Linked DNA regions of Anolis sagrei. The protein of the gene in region 1 binds, or shares a complex with, the protein of each later gene. Links are inferred from orthologs where the notes say so. Each region holds a gene or a part of one and is shown in the gene's direction. Other genes may lie near its edges. The genes, in order: calpain-2 catalytic subunit, calpain small subunit 1 and CAST.

Evidence for each region.
Region 2: the proteins of calpain-2 catalytic subunit (region 1) and calpain small subunit 1 are in contact, whole or in part, in a crystal structure (PDB 1KFU), measured with the Homo sapiens proteins. The link is inferred for Anolis sagrei from reciprocal best matches to the Homo sapiens genes CAPN2 and CAPNS1. Residues at the interface, in NP_001739.3 of Homo sapiens: Ala2, Gly3, Ile4, Ala5, Lys7, Leu8, Ala9, Arg12, Glu13, Glu16, Phe60, Arg366, Arg416, Arg417, Arg418, Arg420, Asp494, Ile516, Phe551, Glu575, Lys578, Val581, Asp582, Asp585, Gly588, Ser589, Gly590, Gln641, Leu642, Gln644; in NP_001003962.1 of Homo sapiens: Thr85, His86, Ser88, Asp111, Asp112, Met113, Glu114, Ser116, Thr118, Asp142, Arg145, Ser146, Ala149, Val150, Met151, Asp152, Ser153, Asp154, Thr155, Thr156, Gly157, Gly160, Phe161, Glu163, Asn206, His208, Leu209, Met212, Ile213, Arg215.
Region 3: the proteins of calpain-2 catalytic subunit (region 1) and CAST are in contact, whole or in part, in a crystal structure (PDB 3BOW), measured with the Rattus norvegicus proteins. The link is inferred for Anolis sagrei from reciprocal best matches to the Homo sapiens genes CAPN2 and CAST. Residues at the interface, in NP_058812.1 of Rattus norvegicus: Glu62, Leu63, Ser68, Lys69, Gln99, Gly100, Ala101, Leu102, Gly103, Trp106, Lys161, Asp162, Leu165, Leu166, His169, Ser196, Gly197, Gly198, Thr200, Ser241, Asp243, Ile244, Thr245, Asp249, Ser250, Glu251, Ala252, Val253, Val259, Lys260; in NP_445747.2 of Rattus norvegicus: Glu571, Leu572, Asp573, Ala575, Leu576, Asp577, Glu578, Leu579, Ser580, Ser582, Leu583, Gly584, Gln585, Arg586, Gln587, Pro588, Leu596, Asp597, Asp598, Lys599, Val600, Lys601, Glu602, Lys603, Ile604, Lys605, Ala606, Glu607, His608, Ser609.

What each region holds. Positions count from the first base shown.
Region 1 is NC_090021.1:38,503,147-38,513,452, forward strand, and holds the start of calpain-2 catalytic subunit, read left to right. Parts: upstream 1-5,341; 5' UTR 5,342-5,448; coding exon 5,449-5,685; intron 5,686-9,788; coding exon 9,789-9,858; intron 9,859-10,306. UniProt on the Homo sapiens protein: Calcium-regulated non-lysosomal thiol-protease which catalyzes limited proteolysis of substrates involved in cytoskeletal remodeling and signal transduction. Proteolytically cleaves MYOC at 'Arg-226'.
Region 2 is NC_090035.1:78,028,854-78,039,721, forward strand, and holds the start of calpain small subunit 1, read left to right. Parts: upstream 1-6,357; 5' UTR 6,358-6,485; intron 6,486-10,868. UniProt on the Homo sapiens protein: Regulatory subunit of the calcium-regulated non-lysosomal thiol-protease which catalyzes limited proteolysis of substrates involved in cytoskeletal remodeling and signal transduction. Essential for embryonic development.
Region 3 is NC_090022.1:252,934,108-252,944,550, reverse strand, and holds the start of CAST (calpastatin), read left to right. Parts: upstream 1-5,235; 5' UTR 5,236-5,519; coding exon 5,520-5,570; intron 5,571-10,443.

The sequences.
Region 1 (10,306 bases):
ATTAACAAGAACAGACAACACAAACACAACACAAACAGAGGTAAAGGCAGTTTTCCCATCTCATTTCTGGCATCTTTGAGGCTGTGTTAGACTCCAGCTATGCTGGGGTGTGTGTGCTGTCACTCCATCTTCCATGTCGAGGAGCTTTTCTCTGATTTATTTCCTTTAGGGCACCTTTATTACCTCCCTGCTAAAAGTGCTACCTATTTTATCTACTCACATTTCTGCTTTCGACCTGCTAGGTGGGCAGGTGAGCTGGGACTAACAGCTGGTGCTCACCCCAACCCAGGCTCAAACTACTGACTTTCTGATTGGCAGGATTTTTTTTTCTGTTTAGCCTACTGTGCTAAGCCTGGCCCTAAAAAAAAAGCTAACAAAGAAACCACAAACCAATTTAAAATACAATGTTTGACCAATAAAAATACTTGTATCAACTCAATAATAGTTATTAGAGTCTCAATGAATATTGTTCAAGCCATCCTGTTCTAATGATATGAACTGGTAGTAAAATCTAATGCGACATGCCCTGTCTACCTTAACATGAGAAATACATGCTGCTGGAAGGGTGGGAAAGTTTGCAGAGTGAGGTGGCATTGCCTGTTTGTAATGTCTAAAACTGTTCTTATCTTTCCCAATTCTTATTACTTGGAATCAGTGTAGAATAAGGACTCGCGCAAGAGTAATTTCAAAGGGAATAAAATGCAAAGTGTTGATGATGGGAGTTCCATACAGACTACTTTCTTAAAATCTACAAGAGACAGATCTCTGTCTTTTTTTTAAAAAAAGCTGGGGACCATTTTCTCCCATCTCTGGGCTCAATTTCTAAAAACGAAAGTTTATAATTTGCCTATATCCTGTTCTCAACATTATCACTTATTTTAGAAGCTTCAGAACAGTTAGTCTCTCTATTTTGAGAGTATTTGGCAGCTGAAATTGCTAGGAATATTGCAATCACATGGAAAAAATGACTTGAAACAACTTCATGAGTACGGAGAAAAAAATGTAACATTGGAATTTGGTGGCCCCTCCCTTCCCTTCCCTTCCCTTCCCTTCCCTTGCTTTGAGTACAGCTCACGGTGCCAGAGGACAGTGTGGGTATAAGGTCGTGATCTCCTCCTCCACAGCGTCAGAGCTCAAGATGTTGTTGTTACAAAACTATAAAGCAGTGCTATTATGTACTTACAGCACAAGTAAAATGGCATTATTTTGTTGCAGGAATATATGGAATGCTGTGTTTTAAATCTCTCTAGTCCTTCTGCAACCACACACCTGCAAGAGAAGGTTGCAGGTTGTTATTTCTGGATTTCAGATATTTCTGGAGTTCACAGGAAATTTCAGCACAATGGTATAATTACTGTGGAAGGCGGAATGACCTTTGCATCTTTTCTCCAAAAAAAGGGCTACAGGAGAAAAAATATTCAGATCTCCCACAGACAGTAAGTAACAACAAACCAATGCACGAAACCAGGGGTGTCAAACTCATTTTCACTGAGGGCCAATTCAACCTTCAAAGGGTTATTGAATCAACGGACAGAGAATCTATGGATACAAAGGGCCAACTCTCTCTCTCTCTCTCTCTCTCTCTATCTATCTATCTATCTATCTATCTATCTATCTATCTATCTATTAGTCTGTGCTCTTTAGGTTTTACTCAGTTTGGGTCCCCAGATGTTACTGAATTACAACTCCCATCAGTTTTTATTATCGTCAATGTGAACTGGGGATAATGAGAATTGCAAAACAACAGGACTTATTTCTCTGAGGTTGGGAGAAGGTTAAAGGACATTTTAAAGTCAGACATCACATCAACAAGCCTTGTATCTGAATTCAGACCCAACTATCCTGACTAAACAAGACAAACTGCAGCCTTCAAAATAATAATAATAAGTAATAAATAATAAATAATAATAATGGTGATCCCAGTGATCGGCACACTGGATGCAGTGCCTAAAGACCTTGGCCTGCACTTAAATACAATCGGCGCTGTCAAGATAACCATCTGCCAGCTGCAAAAGGCCACCCTACTGGGATCTGCATGCATTATTCACCGATACATCACACAGTCCTAGACACTTGGGAAGTTTCCGAAGTGTGATCCAATACAACAGCCAGCAGAGTGATCTTTTTTGCTGTGGACTCATCTTGTTGTGTTTCAAATAATAACAATAGCACTTTATTTATATTCTGTCCTTCTCCTTGAGGGAATTCAGAGCGGATTACAGCATATAAACAGACACAGGCAAACATGCAATGCCTTGTTACAAAGGCATACAATGAAACACAAATACACAAAGACAAAGGCTTCTCCTTTCATTTCCAGCTCTGGAGGCAGTACTCATCTCTGGCTCTGAGAGAGGTGTTCATTTCCATTTCCAAGCCGAGGAGCCTGCATTGTCCATGGACACCTCCTGGTCATGTAGCCGGCATGACTGTACAGAGTACCTGTTTTTCTTCCTGCTGAGGCATTACCTAGTGACCTACCCACATTTGCATGTTTTTGAACTGCTAGGTTGGCAGGAGCTAGGGCTAACAGCACGAGCTCACCCTGTCTCGCAGATTCAAACTGCCAACCTTCAGGTCAGCAATTCAGCAGCACAAGGGTTGACCCCATTGTGACTGTACTGTATCACAACTCCCATCAGCCGTGGTCATCGTGTCTAATGATGTGAAAAACAGGAATTGTAGTCCAGCATCTGGAAGGCCACATAAAATGACATGGAAGCCCACAAACCTTGGATTTGACACATGTACATTAAATATACTCATTGGAAAGATGGACAGAGATTCTAACCAAATGGGTGCCAACCCCATCAACTTCCAGCAGCATTCAAAGAAAGCTGAGCTTTGCCTTTTGTGGCTGCCCTAAAAGTTAAAGATTTCTGATATTATTTATTCATTAAAACTATTTGTTAAGCATTTTCCTACCTGCCACAGCTCTCAGACTACTGGGAAATGAAATGAAAACATGGCAGTAATGGGATAGTATATCTGCTTACAAATAGGTAAGTAAAGCTTTCAAACAAGGAAGTTACATTACTCCTTGTGGGATGCCTTCCATAAATTTCACTCATTTATTTCCGATTCTTACTTTCTGCATTCACTTTTTTGGGCTGTCCACATGGTGGCTATCCAAATCCTTCTATTCCTCCACTCACATTTTTTCTTCATAGTTATTCCATCTATTCCCAGAATGCAGAAAGTCCAGTTTTTTTAAAAAGGAGAAAGTTACCTACCTTGGTCCAAGAAGGAAAAATAAAAATAAGAATTCTATATGACTCAAATGCTAACTAACACACAACATGCTTTATACATAATGTTATGAAATGTAAGCCCATTATACACTGTCATATAACATCCATCTTATCTGCTTTGAACTGGATTATATGGCAGTATAGACTCATATAATCCAGTTCAAAAATAGTATGGATTATCCGATTTGATAATCTGGATTATATGGCAGTGTAGAAGGGGTTGTAGTGACATAGAAGTGCCCAGACATTGCACTTGTGTTACTGTGTTACTGCCTGAGGGGAAAGTCCATGTATCTCTTATCTACAGTATATGAAAACATATAATAAATAGCCTGAAAAAACTCCAAAAGAACCTTTTTTTCCCCATGTAAATATACTGGAACACCAAGATTTGAAAATATGTAAGTATATTGTTGAAGGCTTTCATGGCCGGAATCACTGGGTTGTTGTAGGTTTTTTGGACTATATGGTCATGTTCTAGAAGCATTCTCTCCTGATGTTTCACCTGCATATATGGCAGGCATCCTCAGAGGTTATGAGGTTGACCCTGATACCCAAATGCCTGGTCCCAGAACCATGACTTCAGCTTCTTCCTAAAGGAAAGGAGAGATGGAGCTGACCTAACTTCACTAGGAAGCATGTTCCAAGAGCGGGGAGCCACCACCAAGAAGGCCCTGTCTCTCATCCCTGCCAAACGCATTTGCGACAAAGGCGGGACCGAGAGCAGGGCCTCCCTGGATGATCTTAAACTCCAAGGTGGGACATCCATAGCATTGAGCCATGGCAGTTAAGTGGTGTCAAACTGCATGGTGTACCTTTAATCTGCCATGGCTCAATGCTATGGAATCATGGGATTGATAGTTTGGGGAAGCACAGCAGCACTCTTTGGCAGGGATGGCTAAAAACCTTGCATAACTACAACTTTCAAAATTCCATAGCAGCTATAGTAGAGGTCAAATTACATTACTTTCACAGTTTGCCATAGCTGACCCCCCAGTGGTGCAGTGGGTTAAACCGCTGAGCTGCTGAGCTCGTTGACCAAAAGGTCGCAGGTTCGAATCTGGGGAGCGGCATGAGCTTCCGCTGTCAGCCCCAGCTTCTTGCAACCAAGCAGTTCAAAAACATGCAAATATGAGTAGCTCAATAGGTACTGCTCCGGCGGAAAGGGAACAGCACTCCATGCAGTCATGCTGGCCACATGACCTTGGAGGTGTCTACAGACAATGCTGGCTCTTTGGCTTAGAAATGGGGATGAGCACCACCCCCAGTTGGACATGACTGGACTTAATGTGAGGGGAAAACCATTGTTCTGTGAGGCACTATCCCTTTTTGCCTGAGAAGGCTGAAGACCTTAAAGCAAGCATGGGCCAATTTCGGCCCTGGAGGTGTTTTGGACTTCAACTCAGAATCTGCTTCTTGGAGTTCCTACCAAGATCAGGAAAATTACATTCAAAGCACCCTCGACAGATGGCCATCCAGCCTTTGTTTAAAAGCCTCCAAAGAAGGAGCCTCCACTATACTCCGAGGCAGAGAGTTCCCCTGCTGAACAGCTCTCACAGTCAGGAAGTTCTTCCCAATGTTCAGATGGAATCTCCTTTCTGGTAGCTTGAAGCCATTGTTCTGTGTCCTAGTCTCCAGGGCAGCAGAAAACAAGCTTGCTCCCTCCTCCCTATGACTTCCCCTCACATATTTATATATGGCTGTCATGTCTCCTCTCAGCCTTCTCTTCTTCAGGCTAAACATGCCCAGCTCCTTAAGCCGCTCCTCATAGGGCTTGTTCTCCAGACCCTTGATCATTTTAGTCGCCCTCCTCTGGACACATTCCAGCTTGTCAATATCTCTTGTCAATTGTGGTGCCCAGAATTGGACACAATATCCCAATAATCCCACAATTCCTAAGAGGCTTTGGGAATTGAAGTCCAAAACACCTGCAGGGCCAAAGTTCGCCCATGCCTGCCCTAAAGTCTCCAGGATAATTCCACAGCATTGCGCCAGGGCAGTTCAAGCGGCATCAAACCGCATTAACTCTCCAGTGTGAAGGCATCCGTGAGGGCACCTCCCCGCCCCAGGCGAGGAGATTTCCCCTCGTTGCGATGAATCACCATCCGGCTGGGAGGGATTCTTCTCTCTGGACACTTGGCAGAGGAGTTGCAGCTGAGGGCGGGCATTCCTCCTTCGGCCGGGGCGAGCCACCATCATGTCTGGGATCGCAGCGAAAGTGGCCAAAGACCGGGCGGTGGCCCAAGGGCTGGGCTCCAACCAGAAGGCGGTCAAGTACCTCCGGCAGGACTTCGGGGCGCTCAGGGACGAGTGCCTGGAGGCCGGGAAGCTCTTCCAGGACCCCTCCTTCCCCGCCGGGCCCCCCGCCCTGGGCTTCAAGGAGCTGGGACCCCACTCCGCCAAGACCAAGGGCATCGTCTGGAAGAGGCCCACGGTAGGAGGGAGCAAGGGAGGGAAGGGGCCGGGAAGGAAACTTTTGGGGGCACACCTCCATTCTGTGGGATCCTGGGAGATGGAGTTTGGAGAGGCACCAGCCCTCTTCCGCAGAGAAGGATAAAGAACTCGAGTAGACTACATGTTTGTTTTGTTTTGTTTCTTCGTGTCAGGAGTGACTTGAGAAACTGCAAGTCGCTTCTGGTGTGAGAGAATTGGCCGTCTGCAAGGACGTTGCCCAGGAGACGCCCTGATGCTCTGATCTTTTACCATCCTTGTGGGAGGCTTCTCTCATGTCCCCGCAAGAGGAGGCGGAGCTGACAGAGGGAGCTCATCCGCCCTATCCCCAAATTCGAACCTACAACCTGTCGGTCTTCGGGGCTCCTAAAGACCTGGTGAAAATATAGCATTGAGCCATGGCATTTCAAATGGTATTAATCCTACCAGGAATGGGCAAACTTGAGCCCTCCCTTCAGGTGTTTTGGACTTCAACTCCCACCATTCCTAACAGCCTCAGGCCCCTTCTTTTTTCCCCTCAGCCACTTAAGGTTGGGCCCTCCCTCCAGGTGTTTTGGACTTCCCACCCTCCCTAATAGCCTCAGGCCCCTTCCTTTTCCCCCCTCAGTCACTTAAGCTTGGGCCCTCCCTCCAGGTGTTTTGGACTTCAACTCCCACCATTCCTAACAGCCTCAGGCCCCTTCCTTTTCCCGCTCAACCGCGTAAACTTGGGCTCACACTCCAGGTGTTTTGGACTTCAACTCCCACCATTCCTAAAGAGCCTGCGACTGTTAGGAATTGTCTTCAAGCCACTTCTGACTTATGGCAACTTATGAGGCTGAGAGTGTGTGACCTGCTCCAAGTCACTTTGTGGATTTCCATGGCCAAATGGGAGAGGAAATTGTAGTTTTTAGTGCACAAAGCACTCCAGGCAGTCCTCAAGTTGCGACCAAGTTATGTTTTGTAGGTTTGTTCATAAGTTGAATTTGTATGTAATTCGTAACAGGTAATTTTTTAAAAGTGTATCTCCAGCCAAAAATATACATACATTTTAGCTTTGGATTGCATAGGGAAGGTTTAACATCCCTGTGGTGTTTGTTTTGCTGTCTGCCTCCCTGTTTAGAAGATTTCACCTCACTTTCTGTCCCTTTGATGACTGGATCTTGAAAAATTGGACTTGTGGAATCAAGGGTTGGTGATAGCGTTTCAGTGGAGACGCCTTTTTCCTATGATAATTTCCCCTGGTGGCCCAGCGAGTTAAACCACTGAGCTGCTGAACTTACTGACCGAAAGTTTGGCATTTCGAATCTGGGGAGCAGGGTAAGCTCCCGCTGTTAGGCCCAGCTTCTGCCAACTTCTGCCAACCTAGCAGTTTGAAAACATGCAAATGTGAGTAGATCAATAGGTACCACTTCTGAGGGAAGAGAAGGGCGCTCCATGCAGTCATGCTGGCCACATGACCTTGGAGGCGTCTACGGACAACTCTGGGTCTTCAGCTTAGAAATGGAGTTGAGCACCACCTCCCAGTCGAACACGACTAGACTTCATGTCAGGGAAAACCTTTACTTTTATTTTTAATTCTTTCAGGAGTCAAGTTCCCTTCTTAGGGGTAGATTTATCTTATTTCCTGTTGTTTCACCTCCATTCTTAACTATGAGTCGTTTGTAAGTAGGATGTTTGTAACTTGTGGATTGTCTGTAGATCACACTGTCTTGCCTATTAAATACCCATTGTTTATTTGTTTGTTTCTGTGCCTATCAAGTTCCCTCACTATTACATTTATTTTTCAGTATTCAAACTATGTATCTATCCATCTATCTATCCATCTATCTATCTGTCTATACACACATATACAGACACCACACACATGACACACAACACAGTGGGACTAATCTAGAAGGCTTGAAGACTATTCATTTGTGTACTACAGGTATTACAGAATCGGGGAATGTTACTTTTTGAACCACCACTCTCCAGGTCAATATGGAGTAGAATCATAGAGTTGGAAGTGACCTCATGGACCATCCTGTCCAACCCCCCCTGCCAAGAAGCAGGAACATCAAAATGTCTTGGATTACAAACACCATAATCCCTAACTAGCTTTGGCAGTGCACTGGAATGGTGAAATATGCCCTATATCAGTGCTTATTAATGTATAGAAGTGACTTCTGCAAGATGTTTTGGAACCAGGATATGTTAGCAAGCGTTAAAGATGTTTTTCCAGCTTGACCACTTGCAGCTACCCAGCCATCATAAAATACTCAACTTGCTTTGAACAGGAAAAGTTTAAAAGGCCTAAAACAGGAAAGGTCAATCAGTAAAGATTCTTATCTGTCCACATAATAATTTAGAGATAACAAGCTAATCTTACAGATTTAAAAATCTGATATTTATATAACTCTCCAGATGCTACTAGACTCAAACTCCCAATTGCCGTATCCAGTATAGTAAATACTGAAAAACAATGGTCCAACAATATTCAAGGAGCTAGAGGTTTCCACTTATGTAATTATTATTATTATTATTTGTTTAAAAATCTTACTAGTTGCTTTTCTGCCCATTAAAGCCCATTCCACACAGCTGAATAATATCCCACATTTTCTGCTTTGAACTGGAATATATGGCCGTGTGGACTCAGATAACCCAGCTCAAAACAGACATATTGTGGGATTTTCTGCTTTGATATTTGGGGTTATATGGCTGTGTGGAAGGGCTCTAAGGCTTCCTATACTAGCATCCATGCTCTTCTAGAGATTGTTTGACACATCTAATTAGTATATATGGTTTCCAGAATAAAGACAAATACAGCTATTTATATGCTTCAAACTTTTAATTATAAAGCAAAAGGCGCTTATTTCCTATCTGATGTTGTGTTATTTGGAACAGATGGAAGTATTTTATTTAGTATTCCCAGCAATTTTTAAACAGAATAAGGGACACATTGGGTGCTTTTGAGACTATGGCTTTCAGAATGCTCTGGCATAGTGATGCTTCCATCAGAACATGGAAATATACACATGCTTGAGAGCAGAAGTCAGCCAAGCAGCCAAAACTGCATCAATACACTCTTTGAAGATGCAGAGGCAGTTGAGAAAAGTAGAGACTACTGTTTATTCAAGGAGCTGGGCTCAGTCAGTACAAAGTTTACTTCATGCCTCACATAAGGGCAAAATATTCACATTTCATATGAGGAAATGTTAAAAAATCTGCCAGAGTTTCTAACAGTTCAGAAGACTGACAGCCAACCCCCCCCCCCCCACACACACACACACACACACACACAAAGACAAGTTGTGTCAAAGCAAAATCATGTGGATCCGCAATCATCCTTTCTCTTTTTGATGTCCAGGCCTTTGTAGCAAAATAGCACCTCCAAATGTAAAGAGAAATTATCATTGTGACTTGAGTAGTCCAAACAGTAACTTTGCCAAGGTCTTGAAAACGAAAGGAGGAATCTGTCCAGCTAAATAAGAAGAGTTATGTTTAGTAACTATAGAATGATAACTGACTTTTGGGTGGGAGACTGGAATGGAGTATCTCGAAAGAGGGCCCCTTGTTTCTTCCTTTCAAACAATATTTGCCACCATAACAATTACAGAGAAATATCCAGTTGAAGGGGACCGTGGTGGCACAGCGGGTTCAATTGCAAAGCTGTAGAACTTGCTGACCAGAAGGTTGGCAGTTTGAATCCATGGACAGGGTGAGCTCCCATTGATAGCCCCAGCTTCTGCCAACCTAACAGTTCGAAAACATGCAAATGTGAGTAGATCAATAGGTACCACTCCGGCAGGAAGGTAATGGTGCTCCATGCAGTCATGCCAGCCACATGGCCTCGGAGGTAGCTATGGACAATGTAACTCTTTGGCTTAGAAACGGAGATGAGCACCACTCCCTAGAGTCGGACACAACTGGATTTAATGTCAAGGAGAAACCTTTAGCTTTTTATAGATGCAAGGGTATACATCCACTTATACCTGCAAGCTTATACCATAATATTTCACTGTGCATGAGTACCAACCCCCAAAGTCGGACACAACTGGACTTAATGTCAAGAAGCAGATTGTCTGCATCTTTAAATAAAATATTTCTTATTTCTTCCCTTACCAGGAGTTATGTTCCAATCCTCAATTTATTGTTGGAGGGGCCACTCGGACTGATATCTGCCAGGGAGCTTTAGGTAAGATTGTCCTTGTCACATGAAACATGACATCTGTATTGTGTAAATATTATTTTTCCTGTAACCGATGTACTCTTTTCTATAGCATGCGTATTCCAAATTGTTCACTACCTTTTACTGAGTTTTCTTTGTGTCATTGATATTGACATTAATTGTGGTTTAGAGAGCCGATAATGCACACAGAGGATCTATTTGTAAGCTTGGAGTGTTTGTGAGCAATCCCTTTTGTTCTGAAAGATGCCAAGCATTTAGTTAAGTGCTTTCTCGTGTTCCAGCTTGTTATTTGGAAAGATTTTTAATGTATAGGTTGCAACTTCGATTGCTTTTTTGGCTTTAATATATGTAATATTCAGTGCCTTCTCCATCCCTGCATCTACTGGAATAGGATCCCATGGTCACCTTAAAGAGGATATTGATTTCTTCTTTTCATCTGCTGTAGATAAACAAA
Region 2 (10,868 bases), on another chromosome or scaffold:
AGAAACATTAACAACCTCAGATATGCAGATGACACCACTCTGATGGCCGAAAGCGAGGAGGAGCTGAGGAGCCTTCTCATCAAGGTGAAAGAAGAAAGCGCAAAAGCCGGGTTGCAGCTAAACATAAAAAAAACCAAGATTATGGCAACAAGAATGATTGACAACTGGAAAATAGAGGGAGAAACCGTGGAGGCCGTGACAGACTTTGTATTTCTAGGTGCAAAGATTACTGCAGATGCAGACTGTGGCCAGGAAATCAGAAGACGCTTACTTCTTGGGAGGAGAGCAATGTCCAGTCTCGATAAAATAGTGAAGAGTAGAGACATCAGACTGGCAACAAAGATCCGCCTAGTCAAAGCCATGGTATTCCCTGTAGTCACCTACGGATGTGAGAGCTGGACCTTCGGGAAGGCTGAGCGAAGGAAGATCGATGCTTTTGAGCTGTGGTGCTGGAGGAAAGTGCTGAGAGTGCCTTGGACTGCGAGAAGATCCAACCAGTCCATCCTCCAGGAAATAAAGCCCGACTGCTCACTGGAGGGAAAGATACTGGAGACAAAGTTGAAGTACTTTGGCCACATCATGAGGAGACAGGAAAGCCTAGAGAAGACAATTATGCTGGGGAAAGTGGAAGGCAAAAGGAAGAGGGGGCGACCAAGGGCAAGATGGATGGATGGCATCCTTGAAGTGACTGGACTGACCTTGAGGGAGCTGGGGGTGGTAACGGCCGACAGGGAGCTCTGGCGTAGGCTGGTCCATGAGGTCACGAAGAGTCGGAGACGACTGAACGAATGAACAACAACAATTATACTCTATTATATTTTAAGAAATATTATAAATAATATCTAATATATTATTAGTATAACATGATATTAGTATTCTATATTATACTGTATTATATTTTAAGTAATATTATAAATAATATCTAATATATTATTAGTATAGCATGATATTAGCATTATATATTATACTATATTATACAATATATTTTTAGTACAGCATAATATTAGTATTTTATATTATACTATATTGTAAGTAGTATTATAGATAATATCTAATACATTTTTAGTATAGCATAATATTAGTATTATATATTATACTGTATTATATTTTAAGTAATATTATAAATAATATGTAATATATTATTAGTATAACATGATATTACTATTATATATTATACTGTATTATACAATATATTTTAGTACAGCATAATATTAGTATTAAATATTATACTGTATTATTTTATAAGTAGTATTATAGATAATATCTAATACATTATTACTCTATTTATCACTATTTATTATTTACAGCATTTATATTCCGTAACGTTAGTATATAATATTATATTATATACTAATGTAATATTGGTATATTATATATAATACTATTATGTTATAAAATATAATCTATTATATAATATATACAATATATTCCATAATATTAGTATAATATTCCATAATATCAGTATAGCACAATATTAGTATTATCTATTATACAGTATTATATTATTAGTACTATAAATAATATCTAATATATTATTAGTATAGCATAATATTAGTATTATACATTATACTGTATTATAAGTAATATTATAAATAATATCTAATATATTATTAGTATAACATGATATTAATATTATATATTATACCGTATTATTTTATAGGTAGTATTATAGCTAATATCTAATATATTATTAGTATTGTTGTTGTTGTTCATTCGTTCAGTCGTCTCCGACTCTTCGTGACCTCATGGACCAGTCCATGCCAGAGCTCCCTGTCGGCCGTCACCACCCGCAGCCCCTTCCAGGTCAGTCCAGTCACTTCAAGGATGCCATCCATCCATCTTGCCCTTGGTTGGCCCCTCTTCCTTTTGCCTTCCACTTTCCCCAGCATCATTCCCTTCTCTAGGCTTGGCTGTCTCCTCATGATGTGGCCAAAGGACTTCCACTTTGTCTCTCGTCTCCTTCCCTCCAGTGAGCAGCCGGGCTTTCTTTCCTGGAGGATGGACTGGTTGGATCTTCTCGCAGTCCAAGGCACTCTCAGCACTTTCCTCCATCACCACAGCTCAAAAGCATCTCTCGTCCTTCGCTCAGCCTTCCCTCAGGTCCAGCTCTCACCTCCATAGGTGACTACAGGGAAGACCATGGCTTGGACTAGGCAATGGATCTTGGTTGCCAGTCTGATGTCTCTACTCTTGACTATTTTATCGAGATTGGACATTGCTCTCCTTCCCAAGAAGGAAGCATCTCCTGATTTCCTGGCCACAGTCTGCATCTGCACTCATCTTTGCGCCTAGAATATTATTAGTATAGCATAATATTAGTATTATATATTACACTGTATTATATTATAAGTAGTGTTATAGATAATATCTAATACATTATTAGTATAGCATAATATTAGTATTATATATTTTACTGTTTTATATTATAAGTAGTATTATAAATAATATCTACTATATTATTAGTATAACATGATATTAGTATTATATATTATACTGTATTATAAGTAGTATTATAAATATCTAAGATATTATTAGTAAAACATAATTTTAATATTGTATGTTATACTGTATTATATTATAAGTAGTTTTATAGATAATATCTAATATATTATTAGTATACCATAATATTAGTATTATACATTATACTGTATTATAAGTAATATTATGAATAATATCTAATATATTATTAGTATAACATGATATTAATATTATAGATTATACTGTATTATAAGTAGTGTTATAAATATCTAAAATACTATTAGTAAAACATAATTTTAGTATTGTATATTATACTGTATTATATTATATTATAGATAATATGTAACATTAGTATAGCATAACATTAGTATTACATATTATTGCGTTATATTATTACATTGCAATATTATTAGTAATATTATATCTATTAGTATTATATCGCAATGTTATTCTTTCTATATGTTATATTATGTTGCAATATTATTACATTGCAATATTATTAGTAACATTATATCTATTCGTATTATTACATTACAATGTTATTCTTTCTATATATTATTATATTAGGTTGCAATATTATTAATATTGTATAGCATGTATAATATATTATTATATAATATTATTATTATATATTATGTATATGGATTTGAGGCTTCTCTACCAAAGAATCCCAGGATTCTATGGAACGGAGGCATTGGAAGTTAAACCGGATTCAATCTGCATCAATTCCACAGTGTAGATGCACACACCTCCTGGAGTCATATTTCCTGCAATTGGGTGTGCCTTCCCCTTTCCTTTCTCTGGGGCCTTGACACAGAAGCATTCCTTTGATCTGAATCAGACTGGCCTGGGATTTTTTCTCGGCCTCTGGAGCTGAAGATCCTTTTCATCCCAAACTGGCAAAGCAGGTTCAAAACCAGGAAGAGCTGCAAGAAATATATATATATTTGCAGAAGATCAATGGAGCAAGACCTTTCTCCGCCTTAGATAAACTATGGGGAACAGAGGCTGGGGCCCCTTCTACACTGCCATATACAATGCAGAGTATCTGCATTGAACTGGAGTATTCGGCAGTGTAGACTAGACATGGGCCAATTTATGCCCTCCAGGAGTTTTGGACTTCAACTCTCCATTCCTATTGTAGAACTACAACTCCCAGGATTCAATACTATTGAGCCCTGGGAGTTGAAATAATATATAATTACTAGCTGTCCCCTGCCACGTGTTGCTGTGGCCCAGTCTGTGTATATGTGTTTGTATGTGTATTTATTTGTGTATATGTGTATATATGTGGTTTTGTGCATGCATTGTAATGTATTTCTTACTTTTTGGTTTTTTAAGTCCCTTCTATTGTGTTTTTCAGTGTTTTTATGAGTGATGGTCACTCGTTGGCCTGAGAGGTGTCATGTGTCCAAATTTGGTGTCAAATCATCCAGTGGTTTTTGAGTTACATTAATCCCACAAACAATCATTACATTTTTATTTATATAGATGCCCCCCCCTCTATATATAGAGAGAGGGGGGGGGGCATCTATATAAATATACACACTTTATTTATGTATTTATTTACAGCTTTTATATTCCGCCCTCCTCACCCCGCAGGGGACTCAGGGTGGATTACAGTGTACACATATATGGCAAACATTCAATGCCAATTTTTGACATACAAACATATACAGACATACACAGAGGCTATTTAACTTTTTCTGGCCGCCAGGGAGCTGTCGCTTTCCTCGTCCATCTGCGACGCTGATGAAGCACTTCCGCATTCCCCGCATGTTTCCCCGCTGGAATGCTTTGCTGGAGTCTTCTTTATGGCCTCATAAATCAGTTAATTTAGCCTCCCCACACTTTTAAGGTGGTACCTTATTTTCCTACTTGACAGATGCAACTGTCTTTCGGGTTGCAAAGGTCGACAACAGGCTACACACAATTTGTTGGAAACCCACTCCAACCCGGGCTGGCTTCGAACTCATGACCTTTTGGTCAGAGTGATCTTAATGCAGCTGACACTCAGCCAGCTGCGCCACAATAAAAAAAAAGTTAAATAGCCTCTGTATATGTTCGTATGTCAAAAATTGTCATTGAATGTTTGCCCTATATGTGTACCCTGTAATCCGCCCTGAGTCCCCTGCGGGGTGAGAAGGGCGGAATATAAAAGCTGTAAATAAATTAAATAAATAGTTTTCTCAAGTTTGCTCCAAAGTCTATCTATTTATCTATCTATCTATCTATATTGTGTATGTGTGTGTGTGTATTATATATGTGTGTGTGTGTGTGTATGTGCGTATATTATCTATATAAATGTGTGGGAGTTGAAGTCCAAAACTCCTGGAGAGCCCCAGTTTGTCCATTCCTGTTGTAGAACTACAGCTCCCAGGATTCAATACTATTGAGCCCTGTGATTTGAAATAATATATAATTACTAGCTGTCCCTTGCCACGTGTTGCTGTGGCCCAGTCTGTGTATATGTGTTTTCTGTGTGTATACACATTTTACATATATTATATGTGTGTATGTGTGTATACACATATGCATTTTATTGTTTGCACGGCTCTCCTAACAGCATGAAGCCAAAACATAAAATGCATACAATCCAATGCATAGATCGAACACACGACATCAGAAACAGGGTACGAATATCAATGTATAGAGTTGCAATGCAATGCAGATTCAAAACTCATGATGGGTATCATTGGTACCAAAAACAAAACAAAACCGGCATCAAACTGCATTAATTCTGCAGTGGAGACAGGCTTTGGATTCTGAGGCCTGTTTCCTTTAACTTCAATAGAGATAGGGATCTATTCAAATGTGCATTCTTTGTCCTCTTCCTTTCTCTCTCTCTGCTGAATCATAGCTGGCATCCCCCCCCCCCCCCAGTATTCATTTATGCAAATGATGCAGAGCGTAAATAAGGGAAGGAATTGAGAATTGGAAGAACAAACGGTGCATCTATCAACAGGGTTGAGGAACTGCCAGGGCTCAATGCGAGGGCATCTCTGGAAGTTGCACTTTGCAATCGTTGGCGGAGAAGGTGAACAGCCTTGTCAAACTACAACTCTCAGGGAATGCCGTGACAGTCAAACTACAACTCCCAGGGGTGCCATAAATGTCAAACTATAACTTCGAGGGATACCATAACAAACTAAAACTCCCAGATAAACCATAACACTGAAACAACAACTCCTGGAATGCCGTAACACTCAAACTACAACTCCCGGGATGCCATAAGAATCGAACTACAACTCCCAGGGATGCCATAACAAGCTACAACTCTCAAGGATAACATAACACTAAAACTACAACTCCCGGGATGCCATAACAGTCTAACTACATCTCTCGGGGACACCATAATAGTCAAGGACAACTCCCATGATGCCACAAATGCCAAACCATAACACTTAGGATACCTTAACAGTCAAACGATAACTTTTGGGATGCCATAATAATCACACTACAACTCAGGGATGTCATAAATGCCAAACTACAACTCTTAGGGATGCCATAACAGTCAAACTACATCTCCCAGGGATATCATAAATGCCAAACTACAACTCCTAGGGATGCCATAACAAGCAACAACGCCCAGGGATGCCGTAACAGTCAAACTACAAATCCCAGAAAGTCAAACTCCAACTCCCAGGGATGCCCTAACAGCCAAACTACAAATCCCAGAAAGTCAAACTACAACTCCCAGGGATGCCCTAACAGCCAAACTACAAATCCCAGAAAGCCAACCTCCAACTCCCAGGGATGCCCTAACAGTCAAACTGCAAATCCCAGAAAGTCAAACTACAACTCCCAGGGATGCCCTAAGAGTCAAAGGAATGATAACCGGCGGGCGCTAGGACCGCGCGGGAGCCTGGGGAAGGCTTCCCCTCTGCATTGCCTGCCTGCCTTCCTCTCGGGCGTGGTGGATCCCGCAGCAGTCGATTCCTCGGAAAGGAAGCCAGCCTGCCTGCCCGGAAAGGAAGAAGCAGCAACCAAGAGCCGCTCGGAATCGGGTAAGCGGGGGAAAGGGAAAGATCCCACACCCTTAACCACATTTTCCCTCTCCTCCAGTTGGGATCCATAGATCTCCTAAGGGATCCCCTCCCATGAGAGTAGAAGGAAGGAATCCACTTCCTCTGCTGGGCCCAATTCGAGTCTCCCTTCCCTTATTTTTTTTAAGAGATCATGGGATCTTATTCCTTCCCTTTTATGATTATTTTCATATATATTTTAAAATATAGGGATCCCATTGGGATCCTTTTTTCCCATCCACTTTGGGGCCTCTTGGTGGGATCTTTATTCTCTCCGCCCCCCCTCCCCACACGTTGCTACTTTCCGCTATAAAACTCCGTGCCAAGTTCCTAAGAGATCTTTTCCTCCCTTTTCGCTCAAGATCTAGTGGATCCCACTGGATCCCTTATTCTCTTCCCCCCTCCCCGTTGCTACTTTCCGCTATAAAACTCCATGCCAAGTTCCTAAGAGATCTTTTCCTCCCCTTTCGCTCAAGATCTAGTGGATCCCACTGGATCCCTTATTCTCTTCCCCCCTCCCCGTTGCTACTTTCCACCATAAAACTCCGTGCCAAGTTTCTAAGAGATCTTTTCCTCCCTTTTCACTCAAGATATAGTGGATCCACTGGATCCCTTATTCTCTTCCCCCCTCCCCGTTGCTACTTTCCGCTATAAAACTCCGTGCCAAGTTCCTAAGAGATCTTTTCCTCCCTTTTCGCTCAAGGTCTAGTGGATCCACTGGATCCCCACACGGGGGGGGGGGGTGGTGTCTACTGGATCAAACTTTCAAGAGAGATCTCTGTTCCCCCTCTACTGGTGCCTCCCTTTCACTCCAACTCTTCTGTACCCATATGGGATCAACTGGATCTCCGTGGGTCAACTGGATCCAGTTCCTTTTTTCTAATGGCCAACTGTGTATACCACCCTGAGTCGCCTTCGGGCTGAAATGGGCGGGATAGAAATAATGTAAATAAATAAATAATGAAGCCGGATCTACTGAACCAAGTTTCAAAGAGATCCTCGTACCCCTCTGCTGGTTCCTCCTATTTCGCTCCAGACCTACTGGATCTATATGATCCACAGGATTTCTATTGGGGGGGGGGGTCCACAGCATCCAGTTCTTCTTTTCAATGAAACCCACAGATCAAGTTTCAAAGAGATGTTGCCCCCTTTTGCTCCAGATCCACAGGATCTCAGCAAGATCCACATGATCTTCATGGGATCCACTTCATCTCCATAGGTCAGCTGGATCGAATTCTTTTTTCAATGAAGCCAGAGCTACTGGATCAAGTTTCAAAGATATATTTGCCCCCCTCTACTGGCGCCTCCTTTTTTTTGCCACAGACCTACTTGATCCATATGGGATCTTCTGGATCTCCACGTGGTCCATTGGATCCATTTTAATGAAAACCATGGATCTACTGGAGCAAGTTTCAAAGAGATGTTTTCCCTTCCTTTGCTCCAGCTCCACTGGATCTCCCTGTGATCCACTGGATCTCCACAGGATCAACTGTATACCGTTCTTCTTCTAAGGGATTGCCCTCATGTATTTTTTCCACTGCTTCCGCTCCTCCCTTCCCTTCTGCTTCCTCTTCCTGGATCTTTTTTGATATAACACGCCCATTGAGAGAGATCTTAAAGGGGGCATCTACACTGTAGAGCTAATGCGGTTTTGGCACCGCTTGGGCTGCCATGATTCAAGGCTATGGAATCCAGGGAGTTGTCATTTTGGAATTATTATTGATAGAATTATAATTGTGATCAATAGAATCATTACTAGAATTATTATTATTATTAGCATTATTATTACTCTATTAATAGAATATTATTAGAATTATTATTAATTAATAGAGTTATTACTACCTATACCCAGCTTTCTCTCTCCATTTCGCTGCCTCACCAAACTACAACTCCCAAGATGACATAGCATTACTACATTATGACTTTGGATCACCATAAGCAGGATCTACACATTGCAGAATCGATGCAGATTCATATCCCTTGAATGACCATGAATCAATGCTATGGATCCCTGGGATTTGCAATTTGCACCGTTCTGCAGAAAGGCTCCAGAGGCCTTGCAAAACGACAACTCCCAGGAATCCAGAGCAGTGAGTCAGGGCAGCTCGAGTGGTATCAAACTGCAGTGAGTCCCCCTGGTGAGATAGGACGGAATATAAATAAAGTTTTATTATTGTTGTTGTTGTTGTCCAGTGTGGATGGCTCCTTGGCAGAAAATCCTACAGAGAAAAAACTGCAGATCCCAGTTTTTTCTGCAAAGTTGCCATATAATTTTGGAACGAGGAACTAGCCAAACAGAGAGGAATCTGTTGCCAATAAAAAGCAATTAGGGAATTGCAAGCATCTTACTTCCAAATGCCAAAACCCCCTTTGGGGTAGAATAAAGGGTGCATTTACACTGGTTTCTAATTACGCTTGTTTTTTTCCCAATCGCTAATTAATGCCAGCTTATTATTATTATTATTATTATTATCCCCTTTCCCCCCCTCCCAACCGACTAAACCACCTGTTCCTATTCATTCCTAGTTTTCTGCTTCGATGAACATGTTCCAAAGTAAAGCTCAATGCAAACTGTGTGCAAACAGTTGTGTTTTCTTTGTGTGTGGGAGAGACATTCATTGTAATTACACTGAACGATTTCCTTGTCTTGCAACACTTGTGCTTTGAACACGAGACTCTGAAATTTCACTTATGAGATCCATTTTTATTATTAATAATATTATACTATATATTATTATTATACTGACACCACAGTATGTCACAGTAATATTATTATTATTATTATTATTTATATTACACTATATATTATTATTTATTAGTAGCTTGGGCACAAAATGTATAAGGTTATTATTATTATTATTATTATTATTACACTGACACCACAGTATGTCACAGTAAATGAGATCTATATGCTGGATTTTGTATATTATTATTATTATTATTATTATTTATATTATTATTATTATTAATATTATTATACTATATATTATTATTATTCTGACACCACAATATGTCACATTAAATGAGATCTATATGCTGGATTTTGTATATTATTATTATTATTATTATTATTTATATTATTATTATTATTAATATTATTATACTATATATTATTATTATACTGACACCACAGTATGTCACAATAAACTAGATCTATATGCTGGATTTTGTATATTATTATTATTATTTATATTATTATTATTAATATTATTATACTATATATTATTATTATACTGACACCACAGTATGTCACAATAAACTAGATCTATATGCTGGATTTTGTATATTATTATTATTATTTATATTATTATTATTATTAATATTATTATACTATATATTATTATTATACTGACACCACAGTATGTCACAATAAACTAGATCTATATGCTGGATTTTGTATATTATTATTATTATTTATATTATTATTATTAATATTATTATACTATATATTATTATTATACTGACACCACAGTATGTCACAGTAAATGAGATCTATATGCTGGATTTTTTATATTATTTTTATTATTATTATTATTATTGTTATACTATGTATTATCATTTATATTATTATTAATATTATTATTCATATATTATTATTTATTAGTAGCTTGGGTACAAAATGCATAATGTTATTATTATTATTATTATTTTACTAACACCACAGTATGTCACAGTAAACGAGATCTATATGCTGGATTTTATATATTATTTTTATTATTTATATAATTATTAATAATAATATTATACTATTTATAATAATAATAATTATTATTATTATTATTATTCTGACACCACAGTATGTCACATTAAACTAGATCTATATGCTGGATTTTGTAAATTATTATTATTATTATTTTACTATTATTATTAATATTATACTATATATTATTATTTATATTATTATTTATAATTTCATATATTATTATTATTTATTAGTAGCTTGGGTACAAAATGCATAAGGTTGTGGGTGAACTACAACTCCCGTCATGCCAAGTTAACCCCGAGAAACTCCCATCCGTACTTAAAGTTTGTTACGTTGGGCAAATTTGCACCAGATGCATAACATTGTGTGTGAACTACAATATTTTAAATTTTATCCTGATGCTTTTAGGTTAAGCTGCTTTGAGTCTCCTTTGGGAGAGATAAAGTGGGGTATAAATATAAAATATTATATATATATATATTATATAAAATATAAATATAATATAGATATTATAATAATAGTCTCCTTTGGGAGAGATAAAGTGGGGTATAAATATAATATAAAATATATATTATATAAAATGTAAATATAATATAAATATAATAATAATAGTCTCCTTTGGGAGAGATAAAGCGGGGTATAAATATAATAATATAAAATAT
Region 3 (10,443 bases), on another chromosome or scaffold:
TACCCTAAAACACGGTTGCATGTATGTCCAAGATAGCAACTTCTTGGAAGTTGCAGTTTTACAAGGTCTTTAGCTTTCTTCTGCCCAAGAGTACCAGTGCCTCCTCAAATTACAAATCCTATAATTTCATAGTTAAAGTGGTGCCTAACTGCATTAATTCAACAGTGTAGATGCACCACAAGATGACCGTCTTAATATAGTACTATTGATTGATGGCATGCAAGATGGAATTCATCCCAGGAGATCTGGCACCATTCCTCATGTGCTACTTATGCCTGATAGCTTGCAGTCGCCTGCAGCATTGCTCTTGTTGGGAGTTTGGGAACTCAGGTTGTATTAAACCACAGGCCTGTGCTGGGAGTGGTTACTAGAATAATACCTGCATTTCAGCTGAGAATGTACATTTCATCTACACAGGATGCCCTTGCATTTCCTGCTGGGTGACCTTGCATTTGGAATTGTCCCTGCCTGGACATGTGCTTCCCATGGGGACCACCTGGTTTTAAATCCTTGGATTATCTTGACCTGGCTTCTATAGCTATTCCTGAGTTGGTTTTGTCTGAAGTGAAAGAACAGTTCTGACATTTAGACAACTAAGAATTTCATCCTCAAATAAACACCAGACTTAAGTCTGTACTTAAATGTAAGCATCCAGTTTGCCTCACCTCATTTTTATTATAATCTTAAATAATTAGGATTTGAATTTTACTGCCATTTGTCCTCATTTTATCCTCCCTTCCTCTACTTGTGTTTGTGTGCATCTGTCTCTAGTCCACAAAGGTTTATATTAAAATAACACAGTGGTTCTATATACTCATGGCACTTAAATGTGGCAACAAGGCTTACTTTTACATATGTATGTCACAGGGAATTGGATAGATTCTCCAACTGTCCTAATCTAGCATGGACAATCCCAATTATCTGTCTCCCCTTTTCAGCTGCTTCTAAAACATCCTAGATTTTTTTATCTCATTCTGCTCTCCTCCTTTATCTTCAGCTTACTTTGATTGCTAAAAACTGAGTTTCAAATCCAAAAGTAGTTCACATTCAGTCAATTTACAGGGAAAAGAGAAGGAAGGGGAAGAATCTTGCCCTTCCCAGTGGATTCAGGCAAAAGCAAACCGCTGCAACCTTTGTCATCATAAACACACTGTGATGTTTCTCGGCCACATATGTCTTAGTTTTCATCTATGAAAAACTGGAGGATATGGAATTATAGTATTATTCTTAAAGGTATACAAGGGGCTTCTTGTTTTGTTGGACCAAACACAAATGGCCAACCTTCTGAAACATATTTAATTTCAAACATTTTTTCAGTTACTGGAGATAAAAAATATAGTTTCCACTAGAATAATGATTCCCAACCTTTGGTCCTCAAGGTTTTTTGGACTTCAGCTTCCACAGTTCCTAACAGCTGGTAAGCTGGCTGGGATATCTGAGAGTTGAAGTCCAAAACAAGTGAAGGACCAAAGGCTGGGAACTACTGCACTAGAAGAAATCTAGTGTTTATTGTTGTATTGATGTTTTGATGTTAATTAATTGATATTGCTGTTTTAATTGACTAATGATCTGTTTTGTACTGTTGAATTGGTTGTTAACCGCTCTGAGTCGCCTGAGGGCTGAGAAGAGCGGTATACAAGTGTATATTTGTTCATATTTGTTGTGAACCGCTGTGAGTCGCCTTCGGCCTGAGAACAGCGGTATATAAGTAAGGTAAATAAATAAATAAGTAAGTAAGTAAGTAAATAAATAAATAAATCTTCATTGAGAATGGACATTTGGCATACTTGCTTGAGAGCAAAAAGACTACTTTTCTGGTCTAGAAACCAGTGGCTCTAAGGCAGCGTTTCTCAACCTGGGGCTCGGGACCCCTGGGGGGATTGCGAGGGGGTGTCAGAGGGATCGCTAAAGACCATCAGAAAACACAGTATTTTCTGTTGGTTATGGGAGTTCTATGTGGGAATTTTGGCCCAATTCTATTGTTGGTGGGGTGCAGAATGCTCTTTGATTGTAGGTGAACTATAAATCCCAGCAACTACAACTCCCAAATGTCAAGGTCTATTTTCTCCAAACTCCACCAGTGTTCACATTTGGACATATTGAGTATTTGTGCCAAGTTTGGACCAGACCCATCATTGTTTGCATCCACACTGCTCTCTGGATTCAGGTGAACTACAACTCCAAAATTCAAGGTCAATATCCACCAAACCCTACCAGTATTTTCTGTTGGCAGTGAGAACTCCGTATGCCAAGTTTGGTTCAATTCCATCATTGGTAGTGTTCAGAATGCTCTTTTATTGTAGGTTAACTATAAATCCCAGCAACTATAACTCCCAAATGACAAAATCAATCCCTGCCAACCCCATCAATATCCAAATTTGAATGTATTGGGTATTTGTGCCAAATTTGGTCCAGTGAATGAAAATACATCCTGCATATCAGATATTTACATTACATTTCATAATAGTAGCAAAATTACAGTTATGAAGTAGCAATGAAAATAATTTTATGGTTGGGGGTCACCACAACATGAGGAACTGTATTAAGAGGTCACAGCATTAGGAAGGTTGAGAACCACTGCTCTGTCATTTAAGATAAGACTGTCCAGGGAATCCTGAAAGCTTTTCTCCATTTTATTTCATTATTCTTATTGAGGAGAATGAAGCCTTCCTTTCCACATTTTTGCAGCCTTTATAGTAAGGACTAGTATCCTGTGCATTGAACCCTTAGGAATGCAGTATAGTCTAGTTAGACCAGTTGATTGGTGAGATTCAGGCATTGCTTAAAATTGAAATACACACAAAAATACAAGTCATCTGTTTCAAGTAAGGCACACCTTTTCTTCTATTGCCTTCTCTACATTTCTTCACTGTATACCAGTTAATCAGTGCAGTACTTAAGAGCATGAGCTACAGGTTTCAAGTCTCTAATTCAAATTCAACAGTTACATTTGTAGGCAAATTTGTGAAAATCTTTTCCAGTTAATGGCCCAAATCCTTTTGTTTTTGTATTATGATTTGTTGTTCTGTGTTGTTTTGGTTGTTATTATTACAGGTATCGGGTATAATTCTTCAAGAGATCGATATACCATATATACTCGAGTATAAGTCGATTCAAATATAAGCCGAGACACCTAGTTTTACCAAAGAAAATTGGGGAAACGTATTGACTCGGTTATAAGCTGAGTCTGGGAAATGCAGCAGCTACTGGTAAATTTCAAAATAAAAATAGAGACCAATAAAATTACATTAATTGAGGCATCAGCAGGTTAAATGTTTTTGAATATTTACATAAAACTGTAATTTAAGATAAGACTGTCCAGCTCTGATTAAACCATTCTTCTTCTTAAATGTAAATGTGCTTATGTATCCTTCCAATAATAATAATATAAATAATAAATGTAATAAAAATAACAGTAATACAGTAAAATAATGGAAATGTAATAAAAACAGTAAAATACAGTAAAATAATAAATGTAATAATAATAATAGAATAAAATAAGAAATTCAATATAATAATAATAATAATAATAAAGAGTAAAATAACAACAACAGAGTAAAATCATAAATAACATTTACTCGAGTATAAGCCGAGGGGGGCTTTTTCAGCCTAAAAAAAGAGCTGAAATATCCAGCTTATACTTAAATATATACGGCAGTCTTGCTTGCTCTTATTTTTTTCTTGCTCTCTCTCTCTCTCAACAGGAAGGAAATACTCTTCTGCTATTATTCCTCTAGGCTCTCATTAAATAATTGGGAAATTATTGTTTTTATGGCTTAAGTTATTGTTTTATAATTATAACAGAATGCATTAAAATATTTATTGTAAACTGCCTTGGGAATATTTTTTCTAGATGTTCTTTCACTGTGAGAGTCTTCAAAAAGATGCACAGGTTGCCTGTCTGTGTTGGAAATCAATTCAAAATGCCGGCATTAACTTTTATAGTACGCGGGTGGGTCAAAACGTTTTGCCTCCCATGACATAAAAACATTATGAATGAACATATAATAGCAGAGGTTGCTACAGACCATAGCCTGAACTGTCCTCTACACAAAACGACCGTTCAACATAGTCACCATCCATTTTTACACATTTGTGCCATCGTTAACTTTGAACAGGAATCCCATTGTCATTCTCTGCATCAATAGCAACCTCATCATTAGAACCTCATTGTCATTCCCAACATCCAGACTACCCTGATCATTAGACACAATCACAGGCTGAACTCCAACAGTAATAGGCAGTAAGAGCACCTAAAGCTTCGGAGAGCTTCTGTTCAACCATTACAAAGCTCCTTTCTTGGGTGGTGATGGCACAATCATCAGCATAGATTAAACTCTGTTCCATCTGGCAGTGGCTGATCATTTGTGTAAATGTTAAACACTGATGGAACAAGCACGCTTTCAAGGCAGGCCATTCTTCTGTTTTCACTACCTGCTTCTTTGCCTGAAGGGGAAAAAGGAAGGGTCCTGAGCAGGCCTGTAGCCAGGATTTCGATTGGGGGGGGGGGGGGGGGCTGAGTTTTTTTCAAGGGGGAGGGGTTCGGGGGGGCTGAGTCTGACTGAAAGAGGGTCTATTCTAGCAAACCTTTTGTATCATTACCCCAATACCCCCCCCCCCCCATGCATGTGGGATATATTGAGCATGGTGATCAGATCATTATATGAATAAACATAACAGTTTAAATAATGCACCAGTAAGGCCTTTTCGCGAACCACCATGAGCATTTCGGAGGGGGGGGGGGGGCTGAAGCCCCTCAAGCCCCCCCCCCCCCCCCGGCCCGGCTACATGCCTGGTCCTGAGACGGCTGATAGGAATGGTGGGAGTTGAAGTCCAAAACACCTGGAGAGCCGAAGTTTGTCCATGCCTGGTGTAGCTGCACCCTGAGTTAGTGCTTGGCTATGGGAAGCCACACAACAACAGCCATAGAGCAAAAATAACTTGTGTGCTTTGGACTTGTAGGTTGATGCTTCAGACTGTGTGTTCAGACTCTTTATCTACGATTACTGGCTCTAATGATGAGGAAACCTTGTTGTGCCTGATAAGAGAGAGCAGGCCGAAAGCCCGGGCTGGCCAAAGGAGCAATCCGAAGGGCGAGGCGGTTCGGCTCTGTCCCAAAGTTTTGAGTGATAGATGGGCTTTTAAGCTCTCTCCAAACAAGAGGCAACGGAACCTCCCCTAAAAGGGCTCCGGGAGTTTGCCTAAGTCTCAAGCGTGTCTTGGCAAACAAGGAGCCTGGTGCCCAGCCCGCCTTTGGGGGTGTCCTCCTGGCCCTTCCACTCCTCCCTCCGGCCCACGAAACCCGGCGGGCCCCAGGAATGCGGGGCTGGGTGGGAGTTTCTCTCTGCAGGAAGAGGAGGGACTTGGGTGGCTCCGCAGCTGGCCTGGGCACTGGAGGGGAGCGACGGGGGGCTCCGTCGGAAAAGCTGCCTCACCGCCGCTGCCCTCCTCCTCCTCCTCCTCCGCCTCTCCCTTTGGCACCCTAAGCAGGCCCAGAAGAAGGAGCACACGCAGCCACCATGTCGCAGCCCACGAAGGGAAAGAAACACGCCGCCAAGGCTGGCAAGACGGTGAGTGCGAGCGGGGAGGGACGGGGCTCTCCGCGGCTCCTCTTGCGGGGATTTGAAGGCTTTTGTGCCTGTGTCAGAGGCAGAGATCTGCCCACTCGCTGGGCTGGGCTGGGACGGGCAGCGCTCCAAGGCAGAGAACTTGAGTGCGCCTGCACTGCTCAGTTAATGCGCTTCGATACCACTTGAGCTGCCCTGGCTCAGTGCTGTAGGATCGTGGCAGTTGTCTTCCTCTTTTCCCTTCTTCCTCCCTAAACTGCAGGGTGGGCCAAAAGTCCCCAAAGTTAGGTAACTTTTTGAAAACGTTTTCCTGAAAGTTAAATGTCTTAATGCCTAATTATTTCCTATCCATACAATACATTGGGATTGTAAATCTAAAGCAATACATTATTATTATTATTATTATTATTATTATTATTATTCATTTCCAGTATTTCTATCCAGTCTTTTCTCAACTCAGGGCGGCTTACACCGGCAACGATTCAATGCCGCAACAAACAAACAATATAAAGAATTATAACAATAATTTAAAAACCATAAATTGAATTAAAAACAATATAAGCAAGATTGTCAAACCATATAGTCATTAAATAAATAAATAAAGCTGTTACTGAATATTGACATTGCATAACATTGAGTCCTGGCAATTCAAGTAGTGTCAAACTGATTCTACAGCAGGCATGGGCAAACTTCGGCCCTCCGGGTGTTTTGGACTTCAACTCCCACAATTCCAACAGCGTATCAGCTGTTAGGAATTGTGGGAGTTGAAGTCCAAAACACCCAGAGGGCCGAAGTTTGCCCACGCCTGTTTTACAGTGTAATAAATGCATCCCTAAATGCATGTTATAGGTCAGTGGTTCTCAACCTTCCTAATGCCCTGAACTCTTAATACAGTTCCTCATGTTGTGGCGACTCCCAACCATAAAATTATTTTCATTGCTACTTCATAACTGTAATTTTGCTACTGTTATGAATCGTAATGTAAATATCTGATATGCAGGATATTCACTGAACAAAATTTGGCATAAATACCCGATACGCCCAAATTTGAATACCGGTGTGGTTGGAAAGGGATTGGTTTTGTCATTTGGGAGTTATAGTTGCTGGGATTTATAATTCACCTACAATCAAAGAGCATTTTGAACTCCACCAATGATGACATTGAACCAAACTTGGCACACAGAACTCCCATGACTGACAAAAAATACTGGAAGGGTTTGGTGGGCACCTATTGAAGTTGTAGTTTATCTACATGCAGAGAGCACTGTGGACTCAAGCAATGATGGCTCTGGACCAAACATAGCAAAAATACTCAATATGCACAAATGTGAACACTGGTGCAGTTTGGGGAAAACAGACCTGGACATTTGGGAGTTGTAGTTGCTGGGATTTATAGTTCACCTACAATCAAAGAGCCTCTTGAACCCCACCAATGATAGAATTGGGCCAAACTTCCCACACAGAACTCCCATGACCAACAGAAACTACTGTTTTCCTATGGTCCCCTTTGATACCCCTTCACAACCCCCCAGGGGTCCCAACCCCCCAGCTTGATAAATGCTGTTATAGGTGGTAAATGCATGTTATAGGTGGGTTTGGGGATGTACAGGGCTCTGCATTGTGGAATCTCTCATCTCCTACAATCCTGCACCTAAAGATGTGGGAATGGGGCCCTGTGTCATGTCTATCCATGCCAGATTGAATGTGGAAAGGATGAGGTGACAGACTTCAGGCCCCTCCAGATATTTTGAATGTCCTCTGAACCAAATCCACTGCCTGGATAAAAATTCGCAGATTCCAAAGTTTTGTCCTCCTGGTGCCTTGGACTCCCAAATTCCTGATAATCTTCCAACTGGGCTGGAGCTTCTGGGAGTCCACATTTATTTTTTTAATTATTGTGTCAGAAGCAAATAGAGAATATACTTCAAGTCACTTCTGGTGTGAGAGAATTGACTGTCTGCATGGACGTTGCCCAGGGGACAGCCGGATGTGTTACCATCCTGTGGGAGACTTCTCTCATGTCCCCAGATGGGAAGCTGGGGCTGACAGATTGAAGCTCACTCCATCTCGTGGATTCAAACCACCAACCTTCAGGTCAGCAGTTTGACCCATTGCACCACAGCGGCTCCTTGATGTCCACATCTATGATGACCGTTTAATGCAGTTTGAAGGCAGCTGGATAGTACAGTGTTTATGGTGCATGCCTTGCAGCTCACTTCAAGGGCTTTAAATCAAGGATGCATCTATATCAGGCATGGGCAAACTTGGGCCCTCCAGGTGTTTTGGACTTCAACTCCCACAATTCCTAACAGCCAAGTGGCTGTTAGGAATTGTGGGAGTTGAAGTCCAAAACACCTGGAGGGCCCAAGTTTGCCCATGCTAGATTTGTACAATGAATGCCGTTTGGCTCCACTTGAACTGCTGTTATTCAATGCTGTGGAGTGGTCACTTAGGGAGGCGCTAGCATTCTTGAACCAAGAAAACTATAATTGCCCAGACTGAGCTATGGCTGTTAAAGATGTGTCAAACCGCATTCAATCTACAATGTACAAGATTGCACATACGTAGATGCACCCTGAGATAAGGAAAGTCAGAGCATACTCCGAAATAGAGCCCTTAACACACTTCAGCATGCCTGAGTGTACATCGCATTGCATGGCGAAACCGATTGAGGGCTCTGTCAGTCAGCACAGATTGGCAGAGCCCTCCGCAGTTGTGAAGTCATAGATCTTGTGGATCTTTAACTGGTTCGAGGTCAGCCTCTGCATTGCATATGTGTATAAGCACCATCCAGGCTTAAAAGCTGGACTTCATATGTCGTCATCTGGAAATTGGAACCACTTCCTTCTCGGCTGGTTTCACAGTGGCCTAAGTGGTCAGTGTGGGTGTGCCACCAAGTATCTGGAAGATGAGGCTAGAATAGATCTGATGGGACTCAGTGTCCAAAAAACAAACAGCCCAACAACTGGACAGCTACAAATGTCCTATATTTGTTTGTGTTTTTCTTAAACTCTCATTCGATCTATCTAGTCTGGCCACTGGTAAGTGGATCTGTAGATGAACGTAATGAAATGGGAAAAAAGAACATGGTAGTTCCCACCTTCCTTTTAAGGACTATAGGTGATGATTACTATATGTATATCCAGATCACAGTGAGGTCTTCTACACATTGCTGGGCTTGCTGTTGTATTCCTTGGTCATTTCCAATTTATTATAATTTGATACACAAGATTAGTACACAGCAAACAAGATCGCTATGCTGGCTTTTATATTCGATCACACATTGGACACTTCTCCAGTGTCTAGGGAGGAGCCTTTAACAGCCGCACTAAACTACAAACCCCAAAATTCTGCAGGAGGCCGAAACCGGATTTAAAGTGGATTCATTCTCTAGCTTGATGAAGTAGTAGGATGGCAAATAATGCGTGCAGATCCAAGAAGGGTGGCCTTTTGCAGCTGACAGATTGTAATTTTGTTAGCGCTGATTGTTTTTAAGTGCAGGCCAAGGTCTTTAGGCACTGCACCCAGTGTGCCGATCACCACTGGGACCACTTTTACAGGCTTGTGCCAGAGTTTTTGCATATTGCTGGGTTTGTTGTTGCATTCCTTTAAGTCATTTCCTACTTATTATTATTATTTATTCATTTTTATCCCACTTTTCTCCCATGGGTGGGGACTCAACGCGGCTTATGGTCTATCTATCACATGGTTTTCTTGGCAAGATTTGTTCAGAGAAGGTTTGCCTTTGCCTTCTTCTGAGTCTGAGAGTGTGTCACTTGACCAAGGTCACCCAGTGGTTTTCTAGAGCCAAGTGAGCATTCGAACATTCATGTCCCAGTGTTCTAGTCCAACACCAGCACCATTCCACCATGCTGTTTCTCGCAATTCATTTATTATTTATGTTATTTATTTCATGCATTTCTACCCTGCCCTTCTCCCCCAAAAGGGGACTCAGGGCAGCCTCACACAAGCACCATACAATGCTATCAACATGTAAAACAACCCAAAATACATTAAAGACATTGAAAATCATTTAAAATATTATACAATTCATTAAAACAGTAACTTAAACATGCCAGTTAAAACCATATCCAAGTCTGGGCAGATTCAATATCACATTTTCAATTGCCAGTATTCACTAATCAAATGCCTGGTCCCAAAGCCATGTCTTCAATTGACTTCTAAAGGACAGGAGGGAGGTGGCCAACCTGATGTCCCCGAGGAGAGAGTTCCGTAGATGGGGGGCCACTGCCGAGAAGGCCCTGTCTCTCGTTCTCACCAACCGTGTTTGCAATTCTTTTAATCCTTCACCATTCGGTCTGTTGGTGTAAGCTGATGGGAGCTTCAATCCAAACAATATCTGGAATGCTGTGCAGTACCAACCTCTGCACTAGAGCTATGGTTGTGACAATAGAAGTGGACCCATGATTAATTTCTAATGTGTTTCAGAGGGGTGGGAATAGTCTGCAGTCTTTTCTTCTAAATCCCAGCAGTTACTTGAAAATAGGAAGTGGAATTGTGCTGTTTCCAAGTGTAACTGTGACTGAAGTCAGTAGCTTTCTTTACCATTGACTGCGCTGTTTACAGTTCCAGTGCAGCCGCTTTTGCAGAGATGCACGATTCTGACAGCTGCTTTAATAACTAGCTGATGCCCTTAAAAGTTTATGTCACCAGAACTTTACAGGGCCTTGAAGGCACAACAGCTCTTCTGCTTCCATCCCCTTCAGTTTCCAAACTGCAGGGGATCAAACAAGACTTGGGGTGCATTTACACAGTGTAGAATCAATGCAGTTTGATACCACTTTAACTTCTATGGCTCACTGTTTTCGAATCCTGGGATTTGTAGCTTGGTGAGGTGCTAGCATTCTTTGACAGA